4 linked regions of the Caenorhabditis elegans genome follow. The protein of the gene in region 1 purifies or fractionates together with the protein of each later gene. This does not show direct contact. Each region holds a gene or a part of one and is shown in the gene's direction. Other genes may lie near its edges.

What was found.
Region 2: the proteins of pho-11 (region 1) and lec-4 fractionate together in Caenorhabditis elegans (co-fractionation; one large-scale study listed by BioGRID). This does not show direct contact.
Region 3: the proteins of pho-11 (region 1) and bre-1 fractionate together in Caenorhabditis elegans (co-fractionation; one large-scale study listed by BioGRID). This does not show direct contact.
Region 4: the proteins of pho-11 (region 1) and dcap-1 fractionate together in Caenorhabditis elegans (co-fractionation; one large-scale study listed by BioGRID). This does not show direct contact.

The regions. Positions count from the first base shown.
Region 1 is NC_003280.10:9,930,270-9,934,980, forward strand, and holds pho-11 (Putative acid phosphatase 11), read left to right. Parts: upstream 1-1,579; 5' UTR 1,580-1,593; coding exon 1,594-1,686; intron 1,687-1,771; coding exon 1,772-1,966; intron 1,967-2,013; coding exon 2,014-2,107; intron 2,108-2,327; coding exon 2,328-2,410; intron 2,411-2,504; coding exon 2,505-2,594; intron 2,595-2,880; coding exon 2,881-3,088; intron 3,089-3,132; coding exon 3,133-3,308; intron 3,309-3,701; coding exon 3,702-3,842; intron 3,843-3,887; coding exon 3,888-4,028; intron 4,029-4,074; coding exon 4,075-4,095; 3' UTR 4,096-4,162; downstream 4,163-4,711. Other genes in the region: C05C10.2 (DNA2/NAM7 helicase-like C-terminal domain-containing protein), read left to right, coding at 1-62, 179-238; C05C10.3 (putative succinyl-CoA:3-ketoacid coenzyme A transferase, mitochondrial), read right to left, coding at 4,278-4,601.
Region 2 is NC_003281.10:3,770,869-3,775,126, reverse strand, and holds lec-4 (Galectin), read left to right. Parts: upstream 1-1,800; 5' UTR 1,801-1,866; coding exon 1,867-1,869; intron 1,870-2,068; coding exon 2,069-2,184; intron 2,185-2,328; coding exon 2,329-2,440; intron 2,441-2,485; coding exon 2,486-2,863; intron 2,864-3,362; coding exon 3,363-3,605; 3' UTR 3,606-3,702; downstream 3,703-4,258.
Region 3 is NC_003282.8:8,986,041-8,990,977, forward strand, and holds bre-1 (GDP-mannose 4,6 dehydratase 1), read left to right. Parts: upstream 1-1,882; 5' UTR 1,883-1,947; coding exon 1,948-2,019; intron 2,020-2,536; exon of another isoform or gene 2,537-2,636; coding exon of another isoform or gene 2,637-2,657; intron 2,658-2,729; coding exon 2,730-2,840; intron 2,841-2,890; coding exon 2,891-3,103; intron 3,104-3,246; coding exon 3,247-3,577; intron 3,578-3,648; coding exon 3,649-4,058; intron 4,059-4,171; coding exon 4,172-4,234; 3' UTR 4,235-4,404; downstream 4,405-4,937. Other genes in the region: nstp-1 (UAA transporter), read left to right, coding at 1-59, 440-644.
Region 4 is NC_003282.8:1,052,006-1,056,698, reverse strand, and holds dcap-1 (mRNA-decapping enzyme 1), read left to right. Parts: upstream 1-1,904; 5' UTR 1,905-1,912; coding exon 1,913-2,011; intron 2,012-2,060; coding exon 2,061-2,170; intron 2,171-2,236; coding exon 2,237-2,921; intron 2,922-3,625; coding exon 3,626-3,730; 3' UTR 3,731-4,175; downstream 4,176-4,693. Other genes in the region: Y55F3AM.13 (FH2 domain-containing protein), read left to right, coding at 399-527, 569-1,154, 1,219-1,364, 1,412-1,615. UniProt on the Caenorhabditis elegans protein: Component of the decapping complex necessary for the degradation of mRNAs, both in normal mRNA turnover and in nonsense-mediated mRNA decay.

The DNA.
Region 1 (4,711 bases):
GTAACAATGATTACGGTAGCCAACGGAGCGTGACTAACTCATTGAATCCAGAATTTGTTGGGGTAAGCAGGGCATTCATTATTTGCCATTTTTTAATGTTTAAAAGTTTATATCATCGCAGTAAAAGTAACTTTTACATACTGTAATCCAAACATTGACTGATCTAATCCGATAATAGTTTCAGAAATGGGATGACGAGACGTATGGAGATTGGCCCACCATCCAGAAATCAACATAAATATCCAATTTTAGTCTTCTACTAGTTGTTTTTACCGTTTGTATTCATATCAAATTTTCATGATGATCTTTTGTTTCCATCTCCAAGCTTTCACTTTTTGGTTGTTTTAATTTTTTTTTTCTGTTGAAATTGAGTGTTTTTTTTCTGTTGAAATTGAGTGTTCCATTTTTATATGAAATGGATTTTGTCTGTCTTGGAAATTCTTTTGAAGACATTGAATCACAGAAGAATGTTTAAACATTTTCAGAAATTGTACGGAAAAAGTTGGGACCAAGAGAATTATGGTAAAATAAAACTTGTAATATGTATTACAATTTAGAAATAAAAAACTATAAATTTTCAAAGTTGGTTTTAAGTGCGTACAATATAATAGCCATTAAAAAGATATAGAGTAACCATGAAGAAAAATTCAACTAATACCTTTATTTTTCTAATTGAGAACTAACAGTTCAAATCCTTTAATGGATACTTTACAAATTAACTGTTGTTTTTGTTGGTAGGACTATTCACGAACGAACTAAAAAACGCATTAAATGGCTCTGCCAACTTTAGTCAAATTTTTTAACAGATTAATGCTTTTTGCAAACTCTCGCTATGCATTGGCGGTGAGAGACGCAGATAATACTTTTTTCTCTGGACGTGAAAAACACAAAGGATAACCGTTTTGCCATCTGCGTCTCTTCTTTCACACGCTATTTTGGCGGTGGACGAGGAATTCTCCTCTTCCAGGATTTTCAAGGCCATTTGCTCACATTTCTCAAGTTTTCTTGTCCGCGAGAAAACATGAATTTTGAGGCAGCCAGCGAGCACGTGCCAAAAATTTTTGGTAAACTTCGCCCTGTGCCAAGACCTAATCAGGATGTGCCTAACGCCTGCCCAAGATCTGGAAAACGCAAAAAAATATATCTGGAAAAAATACTAAAAACTAAAAACATGAATAGTTCTGACAGAGACTGTTTCATGAATTTTGCAACATTCGATAAATGGTACTTTCAAAAGTGCTCAAAGATCACGGCCATGGTCACAAACTTTTAGATAGCATATATTTCGACTTTAGACCAGAATTGATAAAATATCCATTCGATAAGAAAAAATGTTGCAGACCTAGTTTGTTTACATATTCTTTCACACCAATTTTATGAGTTCAGTCTATCATCACTCTGAAAAGTACATGGCTTTATCATGTAATCACGAGAAAATCGAAACGCGGGATAGTTATATCTATTAAACTGACCATATTTTTATTCATTTTCTATCTGAAGATATGATTTTGAAACAATTTTTATGGTTTTTTTAACGAGCTCAACTCTTTAAATAGGTTGTTCTGATATAGGAACATTTGTAGATCAAAAATTATGATGATCTCAATTTTCAGTCTGTTGGCTTCAACAGCCATTTTGGTATTTGCTAATGGGCAGAGCAATGTCAAATTGGAGTTTGTTCAAGCGGTAAGTTATATGAAATCCTAAATGCCAAATTTAGTCCTCAGTGAAAGTTACTTGGGTAGTACAATTTATTTTTAATTATTTCAAGATGTGGAGACACGGAGAACGTGCATCTCAAGTTGATCAATACCCAATTTACGAAAAAGATTGGATTTATGGAGGAGGTGGTCTCGGAGAGCTGACTGCAATTGGAATGGGAGAAATGAACGAACTTGGATGGCTTATTCGTAAAAGATATGTTACTAAATTGAAGTTTTTGACACCAAAGTATGCGTCCAGAGAGGTATACCCTAAAAATGTTAGAACGTGCCAAAATATGATTATTTCCAGGTATATTTTAGATCAACTAATTTCAATCGTACCATTATTTCGGCACAATCACTTTTGTACGGGCTGTTTCCACCAAGCTTGTATGATGTCAAAAGTAGGTTGTCAAAAAATTGATTAAATTTTTTATGCCAAACGGTTCAAACTTAAAGCCAATATGACTTTTTCTGTTGAACGAATAGATAAATTTAGTCCAGTGATATCTTTACTTTTTAATTTTTCATATTGAAATTGTCTGCACGTCTCTTATAAAATTAGCAAAAATCCAACTATTATATTACCTCTAATGCATTAGTTTTGATGATTACCATATTCAGACGTTGACTATCCATACTCCCCACTCACTTGGTTCCCTGGATTCACGTTTGTTCCAGTTCACGTCGATGGTCCGGATCAGTGTGTATGTTGTAAATTTACATTGGTTCTCGAGTAGTCTTAAATAATCTTACTGCGCGTGCCAGTTAAAATTACAAAATTATTACAAACCTTTCCAGGCCGCTAGTCAGAACTGTCCATGCACAAGATACGATCTTCTCCAAGGGCAGATGTTGACTCTTCCGGAAGTTTTGCCAAAGTATACGCAGGTAAGGTTTGATTGAATTATACTATCATCGGTAACCGTATTCACGTTGTGATGGCTTTGTCGGTAACTATGAACAGGCGCCTAAAATGCCTGCCTTCCGCCTAGACGCTTGCCTACTAGTAGACCTACTGTCAAGTTTTTCGTGAACGATTGTTCATTTATCATTCGATCAAATGCGTAAAGCTACAATATGTGAATCTCAAATATTGTAGTTTAAATCCTGACTGCCTGAATGTAGAAAATAGACGGTAGGCAGGCACGTGCCTCCTCTGAATTTCAATTTTTAGGTGGTCCTACTTAACCGTCGTGTCGGTGGATATTACAACATGACATCTGGCCTAGACTCCTTCACAACATACCCAGATACGTGGAAATGCCAGAGAGCATATTTCAACAGAACTATGTACGCGAAGCTTCCATGGTACAATGAAGAACTCTACTATCAAGCCCAAGTTACATATGCTCCGGTTAAGGGATTTTTAGAGGGAAATTTTGGTTAGTTGGGACGAGATTAAAGTCTCAGTGAAGCTTGGTTTCAGAGAATCCTGCTGTCACTTCTTCCGGGCTCGATGTGGGTCTTGAAATCAAAAAAGTTCGATCCGGAGTTATTATCAATGAAGTTTTCAATCGTGCCAATGAAAAATTGAATTGTGCAGAGCTGGGACAAAACTGCACTAGCTATTTGAATAAGCTGAAATTCTATGGATATTCTATTGTAAGAGATTTTAAAGTTTACTCCATAATTTAAGTTCAAAAATGCATGATATCTAGCCACGATCTTACCGTAGTTGGGAATACGGTAGACTACGGTAGTATTACTGTACTTGACTGGAAGTTAAGTATACCATCATAGTAGGTAGGAATCTGTTCATCCCTAGCTACCTCTGCCTACCTCATGCCGAGGCACCAGTCAAGGCTTGTCGGAATGTAGGCAAGCATTGTAGGTAACTCTAAGAAATTGAAATATAAAAAAAAAGAAAAGAAAAGCTAGTTACTTTTCATGCGAATTTTTTCAGGATTTTCAGAAAAAAAAATTTTGACAAAAAAAATGTTTTTTTTAATTTTTGAAATCAATTTTCCAAGATCTCACAACAAATTCGTTTTCCAGCATGACAACAATGTGTACGGTGTCCTGGTTGCTCTTGGTATTCCACAAATCGCTAACACACTTGACGGATGGCCAGCATACGCAGCTGGAATATTTATGGAATTCCACAGAAACACGTCAACAAACGAGAGATTCTTCAAGGTATTCCAGAGAGAAACCAGAAAATTCGAACAATTAAATTTTCAGGTTCTGTACCGTGAAGGAGATGACACTCCGATTTCTGATGTGACAAGTCAACTTCCAATTTGTAATGGAGCCACCTTGTGTCCACTTGGAGCTCTTCAGACTTTGGCCGAGACACTGAAGCCACTTCCAGATATTACTACTGTAAGCTCTTGTTTCCAAAAATTTCGACTTTATAAAAAATTTTCAGCTCTGCAAAACTCCTCTATGAATTACTGGAACTGTAATTTTTGTTGTAACTCAATTTTTATATTTTTTTATGAACTATTTCATTAAAACTCTTTTTGTTCACACAATCCTAAACCGGTATTATAGGCAAAAGACAAAAAAGTAACAAACAACGGACTAAAGAAGTATTTACACATTTCACGGAAATTTGTCAAAATTGACAAATTATCCTTGATTAAGAGGAGCCTGTCCCATTGGCTTCAGATTTTCGGAAATTTCGAATTTGCAAGCGGTGAGTTTCTTGATATCATCTACAGTAAGATCCTTCCTGACTTCGATCAATGTCAATCCGTTCTTTGTGTCCACGTCGAAAACTGCCATATCAGTAATGATTCGGGAAATTACTCCTTTGCCGGTCAGAGGAAGTTCGCAGTGCTCTAGAATTTTTGGCTCTCCGTTCTTCGATACATGCTCCATTACAACGATCACACGGGCTCCGGGAGCAGAGACAAGATCCATTGCACCGCCCATTCCTTTCACCAATTTTCCCTGGAAAATTTTAGAAATTTATTAAGATGGAAGATTAAGCGGAAAAGTATATTTTTATGAAGTTGTCTAAATTTTTTGTTTTTGGGGGTTTTTCGTTTTTTTTTTAAAGT
Region 2 (4,258 bases), on another chromosome or scaffold:
TCTTTCAGGTAGGCATGCCTACCTGATAGCCTCACCTCTACCTGAATCTCTATGTTTCTCCTCAAAATCCTCACCGATTCTAAAAACGGGTCTCTCAAAAAAGTACCAATATATTTTTGCTCAACTTGTTGCCTTCCCTTTTTTGTATCCCGGTATACTTTATTGTTATGCAATACTTAATTGTTCTCTGCGATACGCGGTGCTAATTAGTTTTCAAAATGAATATTTTTCAAATTTGGCCCTCAAACCACACAAACATAAAGTCGCCGACAAAAGGCCAGGGAGAAGAGGTGGAAAAGAAACATGAGTCAGTGTCAGGGTCACTTTTTGAATTTAAAACTGAGACGGAAGAGGAAACGGAGATGAACTGCCACTAGTTGAAATGGATAGCTTTTTGAACTTTTTTCGACAGGTGACAACGGAGTTCTGAGCATTATTTAGATGAAGTAAGACGTCCATGGTTCCTGATGCCTACCTGCCTGCTTAATAATTTTCTGCCCACTTTCCAACCGCCTATATGACTGCAATTTGATGAGAAATCTAGAGGGATTACCAACAGAAAAGTAGCAAAATAGCATGAGAGGAGCATTTTGAACAGCAAAAGTAGACGCCTGAAGCTACCTAAACTTGACTTTTGCTTACAAAAAACTTGCGAGGCAGGCGGCAGGTAGGCATCAAGCAAGCAGATAAGTTACTTCAATTTGAAATATGACTTCTGATCATAATTTCAACAGATTTTATCTCAGCTCTCTTTGAAGTAGTTTTAAAATTGTAAATTAAAAATTCGAATTATGTATGTAGATTATTTCCTTTTTTAACCAGTTAAAATATTATTACCAATAAGAACTGTAAGTTGAATTTAATGATCATATCAAAAACCATTCTAAAAAAAATTCCCGTTTTTCTGAAACGAGATGACCAAAAGCCGGCAATTTTTACAGTTTTACATGTTTATTGCCCTCTTGACTCACCTTTAATTGTTCTGAAAACATATTGTTTACGATTTGAGAAAGGGTGTCGTCAGTCTGTTTATGAAAGTGTTAAAAAATCTGATCTACTATTTTGTTTTGAAATTTTTGTAGAATATTAGCAGATTTTTTTCATGTTTTTGTAATAATTGTAAAATATGTTTTCAATAAGTTTTTGGAATTTTGATAAAAATGAAGTTGAGAATTTGAGTTTCTTGTAATTTTTTTAATCTAAAAATAATTTTTGAAATTTTTTGAGTAAAAAACATTTTTTTAACATTAAAAAAATTTTTGAAACGAATATCTCAGTTAGAAAAATTTTCCCCTTTTTTCTAATCTGCTCAACTTTATAAGCTTATATCTCGGCTGTTTTTGAAGATATTAAAAAATTTTCAACTATTGAAATATAGATAACAACTAGATGCGTAAATTGGCTGTTGAAAATTTTTTTGGTAAAACTAAAGATTACAGAGATACAGATTGCTGAAACTGGAGTATTTCAAAAGTCCTATAGAGTTCAGAGTTCAAATTGTTTTTTCTTTTCATATCACAATATCACTATACATCACTTCGCATATTACTCACCATCCTTTTGAAATTTCATCAGTTCTCAGTCTCAGTGCAGTTCAAACACTTTTATTGTCCTCCGCGCTCAGCGACCACCTATCCCCCAAAAAATTCAAAAGAACACAAACACTCTTTTTCTCTGCCAATCTCTTGTTTACCCGATATTTTTTGTTTTTCGTTTTGTCCTTCGGCATTTCATTTTCCAATCTCTTGTTTCTCTTACTCTCTCGTCTGTTTGTCCACAAGTTAGCCCGCCTCTTTCCAGGTCGGCCTCTGACTTGAAAGTTAGTCTTCATTGCTGTTGACACGCTATATCGACTGCTATCCAAAAATGGTAAGTCTAGAAAATATTGAAATTTTTTGAACTAGATGTCAGATTTATCTAAAAAAAAGTATTCATAAAATTTATAACTTGTAAAACATATTCAACCGTTATTGTTGTAGTTAAAAGTTTTAATATCTAATTTGGATTTTGAAATTTAACATTCAACGATTTAAAATAATTTTCACAAAAAATAAAACGCTCCTTTTAGAGCTCTCACGAGAACGACACCCCTCTCCCAGTTCCGTACACGTCTCGTCTCGGACAACCACTCGACGCTGGACAGACATTGAATGTTCACGGAAAGATCAACGAGGGAGCACAGGTGTAAGTTCAGGGGGTTTTCCTATTAGCTGACTAGGTGCCTACCTACGTGCCTACATTTTTTCTGTCTGGTGCCTGGAGGCAGGCAATAAAAAGCACTGAATGTATCATATTTTAGGTGAACTTTTGAAACAAGCCATATTTCAGAGCCGAGATCAATCTTCTCCAGGGAGGTGGTGAAATTGGACCAAACACCCAAGTGATCCTCCACTTGAAGCTCAATTTTAAGGAAAAGAAAGTTATTCTCAACTCTTACGAGGTACATTTTACTAGAAATATATAACTTTAATCCCGTGATTTTCAGAATGGAGTGTGGGGAAAAGAAGAGCGCGAGTCTCTTCCATTCCAAGCTGGACAAGAATTCGATCTTCGCATCCGAGTTCTCGACGAAGGCCTTGAAATCTCGGCTGACAACAAGAAGATCCACGAGTTCAAACATCGTCTTCCATTCCAATCCATTGAATATCTTTCTGTTCGTGGTGACCTTTCCTTGAATGGAATTCATTGGGGTGGAAGATTCTATAAACTTCCATGGGAGACCGCATTCCCAGCTGGATTTCTTGAAAAGGGACAACGTGTTCATTTGTATGGTATTCCAAAGGGTGATCGTTGGTCACTTGATTTGGTCGCTCGTAATCAGGATATTTTGTTCCATTTCAATCCAAGAATCAAGGATAAGGCGGTGAGTTTTGGCACTCGGGAAGTGTCGGCTGCTCAAGTTTTTTGCATTTTGATTTTGCGCGTTTTTTCTCTTCAAAATCGAAAATTCGAGATTTAAACAATTTATTGAAACAGTTGTTTTTTAGTTTTTGAAAACAATTCTGATAAGTTTGGTACTCTCAGTGTCTTAATTGTTTTGCATTAATAAATGTTTAAAAAATTATTTTTGCAAATCGAAAAAAACTGAGATTTCCGATAATATTCTGATTTTAGTAGTTTAAAAAAATTACAAAAACACAAGTTCTCCTTTACGATTTTCAATTTTCGACTAATAATTGGTGTTTCTGAAAGAAAATAAAAATAGAAAAATTCGAAACAGTAAAAAAAAAATATTTTTTACAATAAAGAAACTTTAAAAAATTTGATTTAACTTTTCCCTATAATCAAAAAAATTAGGTCCCTCTCCCTCTACGTGTTCCCCACATAATTATCATTTTGAATTCACCATGTTTTTCTTCTAGGTCGTCCGTAACTCTCACCGTAATGGATTCTGGGACACCGAGGAACGTGAAGGTGGATTCCCATTCAAGAAGGACGTCGGATTCGATTTGACCATTGTCAACGAAGAATATTCCATTCAAATCTTCATCAATCGCGAACGCTTCGGAACTTTCCAGCACCGTACCCAGAATCCAATTGGTGACTACATTGGACTCAGAATTGATGGAGAGGTTGAGGTCACTGGTATTGAGTTTTCGCATTAAATTTCGCGTTTTCTGGGAAATAATTGCATAATGTATAACAATTAATATGTAAATTAAATAATCTTCTTGCTTTTTTAAAAATAAATTCGAATTGATTTTTATTTGTATGTATTAACATTACTTATATATTGAAAAATTCAGTTCGTCTGTCCATAGTTTGTAGTCTATGTAGTCTTTGTAGTCTGCAAAGTTTTGAAGGGATATTGGTTAAGGGTTAGGGGGGAGATATGGTCAGGGTACTGTAGTAGTACTGTAGGAACAGGGAGCTGTAGTACTGTAGAAGTACTGTATGAATGCTGTAGGAGTATTGTAGTTTGGAAAAAAATTGAGTTATTTATATGCCTGAAATTGGGTTTTTTTGATTGAACTGGAAGCTCCTGGCATCTAGAAAATTTTTTTAATTAAATTCTGAAAGCGCTTACAATTTGAAACAAGTCCCCGACGAAACAGTTTCAAAAAAGTTCATTTTAAGGCAGATACTAATTTTCAAAGTTATTAAAATTAACAAAATCACCCAATAAAAAATGTGGTGACAACTTCGAGACAATGTGTTGTTTAGCGTAAAATACAAAAAAAGTCGTGCGTTGAATGAGAATAAAAAAGCGTTTTGTGCGTTTGGCACAGTACCAGCTCCCCTTTTCGTATCTCACCTT
Region 3 (4,937 bases), on another chromosome or scaffold:
GGATTGGATACTGTAGTCCCATCGGCATGGGTGTATATTTTTGCAATTTGCCTATTCCAGTAAGTTCTAGTGATTATTTAATTTGACGTTAAACTTTGAAAGTGAAGTATAGTCAGTGGGCATTTTTCTGAAATGGCTTAATATCAAAATTAAACTGTTCAATAACGTTTTAATTGTTTCATTCACAATCAAAAATTGAAATTATTTAGTTTTTGTCACTCAAACTTTTAAAATTGAACCAAAAAATATTTTAATAATATGCACCTGATGTACCTAAATGTGTATTTCTCTATAGGTTCTCGAAAAACTAAAAATTTTCGAAATAATTTTCGAAGAGTTTGGCAATTTGCCAAAACGTCGGGTCTCCGCGGAAGAAATTAAAAAAAACAAAAACATTTTTGTTTCAATGGTCAATTTTTCTTATTCTTATATATTATAGATTCGCTTGCACAAAAGGTGTCTACATGCTCTCCGCCGTGACAACATCTCTAAACGTGACAATGGTCCTAACTCTCCGAAAATTCTTTTCGCTTTTGATCTCATTTATAGTTTTTGAAAACGTTTTCAACATGTTTCACATCATCGGTGCCGCATTTGTTTTCATTGGAACAATCCTTTTTTCAGTGTCATTTGCCCGCTTTTAAGATATCAATCTCTCTTCATCATCTCGAATTTGTATCATTTTTTGCATGGAACATTTCAGAACAATGTGATAATAAACTATTTGCACTATGAATTGATAATCGAATACACAAGTAGACTATATTTCCACTGTTGATGTGGATATTTTACATTTCAAAAATACACGCGAGAGAGTGGAGTAAACCTAGAGACGGAGACAGTGAGAAACGCCAACTGGCAAAGCGTCCCCACGTTGAGAGTAGGCATAGGGCTTCAGGATGCAAATTTATTGATTTTTGTGGCCCGGCTCCATGAGCAAAATGAGCCTTGAGTACAAAAGAACGGGTCTTCTTATCATTATTAATATTATCAGTTATCACCATAGCCGCACCTTCACCACGTAACACACTTTCTCTGTTTCTCTAATTATCTTCTTCTTACTGTTGTTAGGCAATTGAAACGTTTTCTGAACGTGGAATTGAAATTTTTGAAATGAAATGAAACGTTTCTTTAACGTGGAATAAATTAATATATTTAAATATTTTTTTATATTTAATTAAAATTATTATTTTGAAATTCATACCATCATTAATTCTCGTTTTTAAGAGTAAAAATGGCTGATCAAAATGCGAAAATTGAGGTTTGATATTTTTATTAAAAAATCTATTGATGAATATTGGGAATTTGGTTGCATAATAAAGTGCGCTCCATTGAGACATCATTGGTCTTGCCACGATACATATTTTTAGAAAATGAGAAAGCTCATCTTTAAAATTTTTGAAAATTTTAAAGCTGAATAATAAATTGCTCAATTTCAAATAATTCATCAATAGAGTCCTAATTTGTCGTCGTTTTGTCTCTGGTTTCTATGGGAAATATTCCAATTCTTTGGTTGCTATGTACGTTTCCTTGGCAAATTCCTTCGTCTTTATACTTAAAATGCACTTCTAGACGAAACAAATATTTGAAACAATGAACTCACATGATTCAAAAATATTCTGTCAGACTTGTTCCAATGGAAATAATCAGGTATTTGTTGAAAATAATCTAGAAATTTTTAATGCATCAGACGGCACTTCTTTTTTTTTCATTTTCGTGTTCCAGTTTGTTAATGAATAAGAATCTCTCCGGCTTTTCCGTCTTCTATTCTTCCAATCTATACACTCATTGTCTCAAATAAATTCGGGATTCTCTATCTTTCTTCCATCGAACACGGTTAGATTTTTATCCTCCACTATTTGAGAAAAATCCTGATTCTGGGGGCGTGTTCCTCAGCTTTTCCTCATTATTTTCATTCTTATTCGAAATCTAAATTGAACCGTTGCAATGCCAACCGGCAAGTCTGAATCTTCTGATATTTCTGAAGTTGTTGGTAACATGGAAATATCTAAAGTTGAGGTATGTGACTGATTTGTTAAGGTTATCAAATTCTATATATTTAATCCTAGTCTTATAAATACTGATTTCCTTGAATTAGATCAGCTCTAGTGGAATTTCATATTTTAATTATTTGTATTAATTTAGTACACCGTCGAATAATGCATGAATGTTTTAAACTGATCAAAAATTATGTGTTTCCAAAGTTTGGCAGATTGTCAAAATCTTAACTGAAAAGTTCAAAATCTAAAACATTCTAGGTATTTTTGACCGATTTAAAAGATATGTTGGTCTTCTGGAAAATATAGAGAAATTATAATTTCCTAACCATACCGCTTTACATTTAAAAAGTATCCTAATTACTTTGCATTAGTACAATTCTAAATGCTCCCCTATTATATTGACACAGCCTAGGATTGGTACATTTATACATTTTCCGTAAAATGAAGTGCCACGTCCCTTTTTCCATGTTTCGCCTCTTTTCCCTCTCTCTCCCTCTCTCTTTCGATTGCCTCTCCTACGTGTCGCTTTTGGGTGTCCCGAATTGCATTAACTGTTGGCTTTTTGTACATTCTCAATCATTCTGATAGTTTTATCAGTTAGCCTAATTTATCCCCCTTTTTGTGAATAGAATTGAAATGGATTCTAGTGCTGAACAGGTAAATAGGATGTTCCTTTGTCTTTGGGAGATTGGTAATTTTAAATAGGATATCAAAAATTCTAAATTTCAGGGTCTTGAAGCGTGTATCGGAATGAGCCACGAAGTGTCCACTACTCCAGCTGCTGAGTTGGCTGCTTTCAGAGCACGCAAGGTTGCTCTGATTACTGGAATTTCTGGACAAGTATGTTAATCATTTTTCTTGCTTCGTATTTACGCCAGCACTTTTTTCAGGACGGTTCATATCTTGCTGAGCTTCTTCTTTCAAAAGGATACAAAGTTCACGGAATCATCCGTCGTTCATCTTCATTCAATACCGCAAGAATCGAACATCTGTACAGTAATCCAATTACTCATCACGGTGATTCTTCATTCTCTCTTCACTATGGAGATATGACTGATTCATCTTGTCTCATCAAGCTCATTTCAACTATCGAGCCAACCGAAGTGAGTATTGTTATTCATACAGAATTACAAATATTCCAAGCTTCACGCAGACAGACAAAAATGTCTGTCTGCGTGTTAAGATTTTTCTGTACCTCCGTTTTATATGTTCTCAAAATATAACCAGTTAATTATGTTCTTTCTAGGTGTATCATTTGGCTGCTCAATCTCACGTCAAAGTGTCTTTTGATTTGCCAGAATACACTGCTGAAGTAGACGCTGTTGGAACTCTTCGCCTTCTCGATGCAATCCATGCTTGTCGTTTGACTGAAAAAGTTCGATTCTATCAAGCATCCACATCCGAATTGTATGGAAAAGTTCAAGAGATTCCACAAAGTGAGAAGACTCCATTCTATCCAAGATCTCCATATGCTGTTGCCAAGATGTACGGGTACTGGATTGTTGTTAACTATCGTGAAGCCTACAATATGTTTGCTTGCAATGGAATTTTGTTCAACCATGAGAGTCCAAGAAGAGGTACGTCAAATTTTTCAAACTGCAAAAAAAAGCCTGCAAAATTGAAAGCAACTCTCATGTTGGTATTTCAGGAGAGACATTCGTGACTCGTAAGATCACTCGTTCAGTCGCTAAAATCAGTTTGGGGCAACAGGAAAGCATTGAGCTCGGAAATCTGAGTGCTCTTCGTGATTGGGGACACGCCAGAGAGTATGTTGAAGCAATGTGGAGAATTCTTCAACACGACTCACCAGATGATTTTGTGATTGCAACTGGAAAACAATTCAGTGTCAGAGAGTTTTGTAATCTTGCATTTGCTGAAATTGGAGAAGTATTGCAATGGGAAGGAGAAGGTGTTGAGGAAGTTGGAAAGAATAAAGATGGAGTTATTCGAGTTAAAGTTAGTCCAAAGTACTACAGACCAACTGAAGTGGAGACTTTATTGGGAAATGCTGAAAAAGCAAAGAAGACTCTTGGATGGGAAGCAAAGGTTACGGTTCCGGTGAGTTTCAAAAAGTATTCAAGGTTTTTATAATTAAATTTTGAACTTATAAAAACCATTGTAATTGAAGAATGGTTTTACTTATCGAAATCCATGAAAATTATATATTTCAGGAACTCGTCAAAGAGATGGTTGCAAGCGACATTATCCTTATGAAGTCCAATCCAATGGCTTAATCATTTAATCAACTCGATCACAATTTCCAAATTGCTTTATTATTTTTTAATAGTTCCCGTTTTCTCTGTTATTCTACCTAACTTATTGATGATTGCTGTGATGCTTTTGGGACCTCTGGGATTATTATTTGACCTTCCTTTTTTTGAACAATGAAGCATTCTGTTTCGGGATGTAGATTTTTTGGTAAAAAACAAATATTTACTATTGGAAACTAACTAGACATTCAGCAAGGACGCAACGCACGGATGCAGCCACTAGGGTCCAAAGAGGGCGAGTTGAAGGAGAGAAGCGCCACGCAACGCCTCACTCTACCTGAATGTCTCGAGAAATACTTTCAATGTCCATGTAGTTTTTTGTTTTTCTCTAATGTTTCTCTGGCACCACCTACAACTTAAGTTTCGACAAATTTAAAAAAGATTTCGAGAAAGAAAAATAATGAATCTTCATCTTTCGGTCACTGTTCATGCCTCTCACTGAACCCAAAAAACTTAAAAGACTTGGGTTCAAATGTCTAGTTCAGGTGTCCTCGCTAAGATCTCAATGATATCACTATTCATAAAAAACTTTATGACACTTCAATCTTAACACTTTGATCTTTTCACGTATTCATGCCGTCATGTTCCACTGATTCGATCGGTTTACTATAATGTCCATCACAATTTTAATAGGAACGTCGAGAAACTCAATTTTTAGTTGGAAGTC
Region 4 (4,693 bases), on another chromosome or scaffold:
AAATCCACATTTGCTTTTATTTCTGATTTTTGGGTTTTTTAGCTGTTTTCAAGCTATTTTATATCAAAATTCAGTAAAAACCGGTAATTTTTCGTCTATTTCCCGCAAAAATTACATAAATCATGTAAAAATGCTGATTTTATACCAAAAATTCACTAAAAATAAATAACACGCACTTGTTAATTCGGAGCATCGTTGTTTTAAACTCTAAATTTTTTTTCCAGAAATTTGATGGTTTTCCCAGTTTTTCAAGCATATTTCATGTTTTTTGGTGCCTTTAACGCTTCTGAAAAATTTTAGATTCTCGAAATTCCATCTTACAATCTCTCGATTGCTCTGAAAATCTCAAAAATCTCAAGATTTCGTATAAAATAGGATTTTCCAGGGTAAATCACGCGATGCCAATGTACAAGCTGACACCGACGTTCCCACCGAATTTTGAGGTTCATCCGAAAATCGCCTGCTATCCAGTAGGTTCGTATCATAATCCATCTTTCGGAGGAGTCGGGCCTTCTGATGCGGTGCAGGTAATAGACGGATTTTGGCTCAAAAAAAACTGAAATTTCAGGTAGAATCCGATCCGCGCAAGGCTTTGGAGCACAAACAGCTCTCACTGATCGAGCAGCTCAAAGCACAGACCGAAGAGCTCAAGAAGTTGCTGGTAAGCCTTGGAGAGGCTGGAAAAGCAGAGAGATCTGCTCAAAAACCTGCGGAAAAAGCGCCAAAAGAGCCTGAGAAATCCGCTGGAGCAGCCTCTTCAGCTCCCGGAGTCCCCGGAGCCCCCGCAAAACTAGACAAGGACGCCAAGAAGGAGGCTCGCAAGGCTGCCAAGGCAGAAGCCGTAAAGAAATTGGCTTCCGGAGAGGCTCCACCACAGAAATCCGCGAAAAAGACCGTAAATTCGACTCCATGGACCGTCCAGGACGACCGAAAGACGTGGGAGACCAATCTGACTCTCACCGTGAATCTCCCAACCTCCCTTGTGGCCTACGAGCCGCAGGAGCAGCTGAAAAACGCCACGCTGACAGTGCGGGACGTGGATTTGCCGTGGGCTCGGGCTCTCGCAAAGGTCGGCGCAAGCCGTGGAGTCTCGTTTGAGGGAGAAGTCAAAAATCAGACGAAAGAGAAGAAATCCAGTCTGAAAGTTGTGAAAGGTGCGGGATTTTTTCTCTAAAAATCAGAATTTTATGATATACCCTTAATTTTCAATATTTTCAGGCCCTGCTCCCTCCCTGCAATTGGAAAAAACTACCGTCAAATCCCTTCAAACTATCTGGAAGCTGTTGGGCTCTTCACTCGGGCTCTTCTCTAGACGGCCACAACAAGTGCTCAGCGCCAGTCATCAAGCGATTTGGCTGGGAAAAGTAGGAAATTTTAGAAACTTTCCCAAAAAAATCAAATTTTCTTTCAGGCCGAGCAAATCCTTGCCGGCTCCTGTGATCAGAGCTTTGTCACACGTGAAGCTTCTCAGTTCCTGGCTCGTTTCGACTCGTTAAGCTCTCAATGGGAGGTGTGTGTCGCTGATATTGTGTTCAGAAGCCTTCTGAACCTTGGGGAGCACCTTCCGAACAATGTGGAGTTGTGGGCTAAGAAGATTGACGCTTTGATTGTTTAGATTTGATTTATTGATGTTTTTATTTGATTTTCTCGGTTTAAATGAATTATTTTGCATTTTTATCTGATTTTTTCGTTTAAGAAACAAATTTTTTGCTTTAAAAATTCAGTTTACAATTACAACGATACTCCAAAATCCCGCAGCGCGCCCTGTTTACCGTAAATCTACACCATAGAATTTCAATTTAAATTCTGTCTTTCTTTGTTTTTTTCGCGATTTTCACCGATTTCCGCAGATTTTTTGCACTTTTCTCATCATTTTTCATCGAAAACTCAACATTTTCATCCAGGAACCAGTATGAGCGACGCTAAAAAAAAGGCCGCCGCCGAGCTAGCCGCGAAAAACCTCGCACAACTCCAGAAAATCGACATCGCCGCCAGCAAGATTCTCGACAAGGTTTAACATAGAGAATTGTGGATTTTAAAGCTAAAAATTGGTTTTGTAGATGCCATTTGCCGCGATTTATCATATCGATGCGGCGAGAAAAGAGTGGAATCAGTCGAATTGCGAAGGAACATTTTTCGTCTATCAGAGAGCTGATCGGCCATATTTTAGGTGAGAAGAAGCAAGAAAACATGCAAAAATAGCTAAAATAATCAATTTTAAACTTATTTATTTCAGTTTCCTCATCGCAAATCGCAACGATCCATCGGATTTCATCGAGCCGCTCACCCTCAACCATATTCTCCGCCACGACGGAAATTTCATCTACTTTTACAAGGATTTGGCCTCAATTCAAGCACTATGGTTCCACCAGATTGATGATGCTCAGAAAATCTACAATTTGTTGCAAAAACTCGTGAATCGTCTGAAAGGAAGCACTACGGAGCAGGCTCGGGCCGCCAAGGCCGCCTCGGAGGCTCCACAGGCTTCGGTTCCGGCTCCAACGCAGGCTCCAGCAGCTCCAGCTCAAGCTCCACAAATGGCTCCTCAAGCCCCACCAAAAGTGGATCTTCTCCAGCTCATAAAAAGTGCGCAAAATCCGCCGCAAAAATCTGCGGCAACGATCGAACAAATGCCGCCAATGCTCCAGAAGCTGATGCTCAAAGAGCCGGGAGCAGCAATGTCGGCCGATGAGCTCGAGAAGGATCTTATAAAGTCGGCAAAACCGCATCGGAATCATCTTTTGCAAGAATTTACTAACTCAACGTCGGCGATTTCGTTGGCGGCGGTCTCGACGAAGCCTTTGCATGGATCGGAGGGTGATGTGGAGTCGGATATTGCTGAAGGAGAGATTTTAGAGCCACTTGATGCTTCATTTGTCGTTGGAAGTGGTGAACAGACGCCTGTTCTCAATAAAGAACAGGTTGGAGCTGGAAAAACGTTTTTTTTTTGAGTGAAAAGCTCAGATTTTTTAGATAAAATCAATTAAAAACTGATTTTTCACGAGAAATCTCGAAAATTTACATGAAAAATCTTTATTTTAGTTGAAAAATTTTGTCAAAAATCCCATTTTTGCTCGAAATTGGAGCTAAAAAATGCGAAAAATCAGTTTTTTAACGGAAAATTCAGGTTTTCCAGCTAAAAATCTGCTTTCTCAGTGAAAATGAGCAATTTTTAAGCTTGAAATCGACTTTATTTGTTTTTCAACATGAAATTACGATACTTAAGCTGAAAATTTTAGGCCCAGGCTTAGGCTCAGGCCTAGACCTAGGTTCAGGCTCAGGCTTAGGCTTCTGCTTCGGCTTAGGATTAGGCTTAGGCTTATGCTGAGGCTCAGGCTTAGGCATAGGCCTAGGCTCAAGCTTAGTCTTGTCCTTTAGATTTAGCCTTGGGCTTAGGCGTAGGCGTAGGCCTAACCTTAAACTTAGGCTTAGGCATAGGCATAGGCTTAGGCTTAGTCTAGCTTAGGTATTGAAATCTCTTTTAAAAAAAGTACCGTTTTTTCCTAAAAATTATAAAAAAGCGGTAAAATTTCCGGAAAAAAGCGAAATTTATCTAAAAATCTCAGATTTTTGTGAAAAATCGTTAAAAATCACCGAAAACCCCCTAAAATTCAAATTTTTTCAGTTCATCTCAGCAATCGCCCACCTAATGCAAACCGACGACGAATTCGTTTCACAGATTCATCAAGCCTACGTCAGTGCACTCAATCGGCGTCTAAATATCGATTAATTTCCCATTTTTTCGACCTTTTTCTCATTTTTCTGCTAAAAATCCTAATTTTCCCCGATATTTCCCTGATTTCTTGCTGGTTTTTGAGTGAAAAAATCAAAATTTTCTCCGATTTTTTGCTAAGAAATTTTTTTTTCCGATTTTTCCTGTGAAGATTTCCAATTTTTTGCTCGAAAAATCCCATTTTCCCTCTATTTTTCCCACTTTCCATATTTTTTCAACGAATATTTTTTTGTGAATATTGTGTGATTCCTCCTGAGCCCTTTTGCTCATTTTTCCCCATAAAATTGTCCATATTTTGTTCACTGAATGGGTCTCCCTATTGATGATATCTCAAACCACACCGCCCTCCAAAAATTTTCGTTTTTTTAAATTTAAAATTCCCCATTTTCTCCACTTTACTCTAAACTCTTGATTGTGAAAAATAATAAAGGAAGTCGCGTCGAAAAAGTGCAGAAAGTTGGCTGAAGCTATCGAAAATTGTGGAAAGTTACTGATAATTGTCGAAAGTTGACGAAAGTTGTCGGAAATTGTCAAAAACGGCAAAACTGACGAACTTTTGTCAATATAGTAAACGTTTTCAAACACCGCCGACAAGTTGTAGAAAACTGCTGGCAAAATATTGCACGGATTTCTGGCTTCCCTCATAAATTGAAATGGAAGAGTTTGTCGAACTAGGCCATTTTGGTTCGGCCATATCTGGGGTAGATTTACGGCGCGTTGCGGCTCGATTTTAGTTGTAAAACTAAATGCATTTGTCCGAGTGGAGTGCACCACTTTCCCATGCGTTGTCCGGCGAGCGATTGTCAATGGAGCGCGAAAAATCCATTGAGGAAGGCCGGAACCCCGTGTATATTAATAGAATAAACATTTTCATGTATGCAAAATATGTGCACAAAAACTTTTAAAGAAAGTCGGCATCAATTTTCGTGTTGAGCCATTTGGAATAAAGATTATCATTAT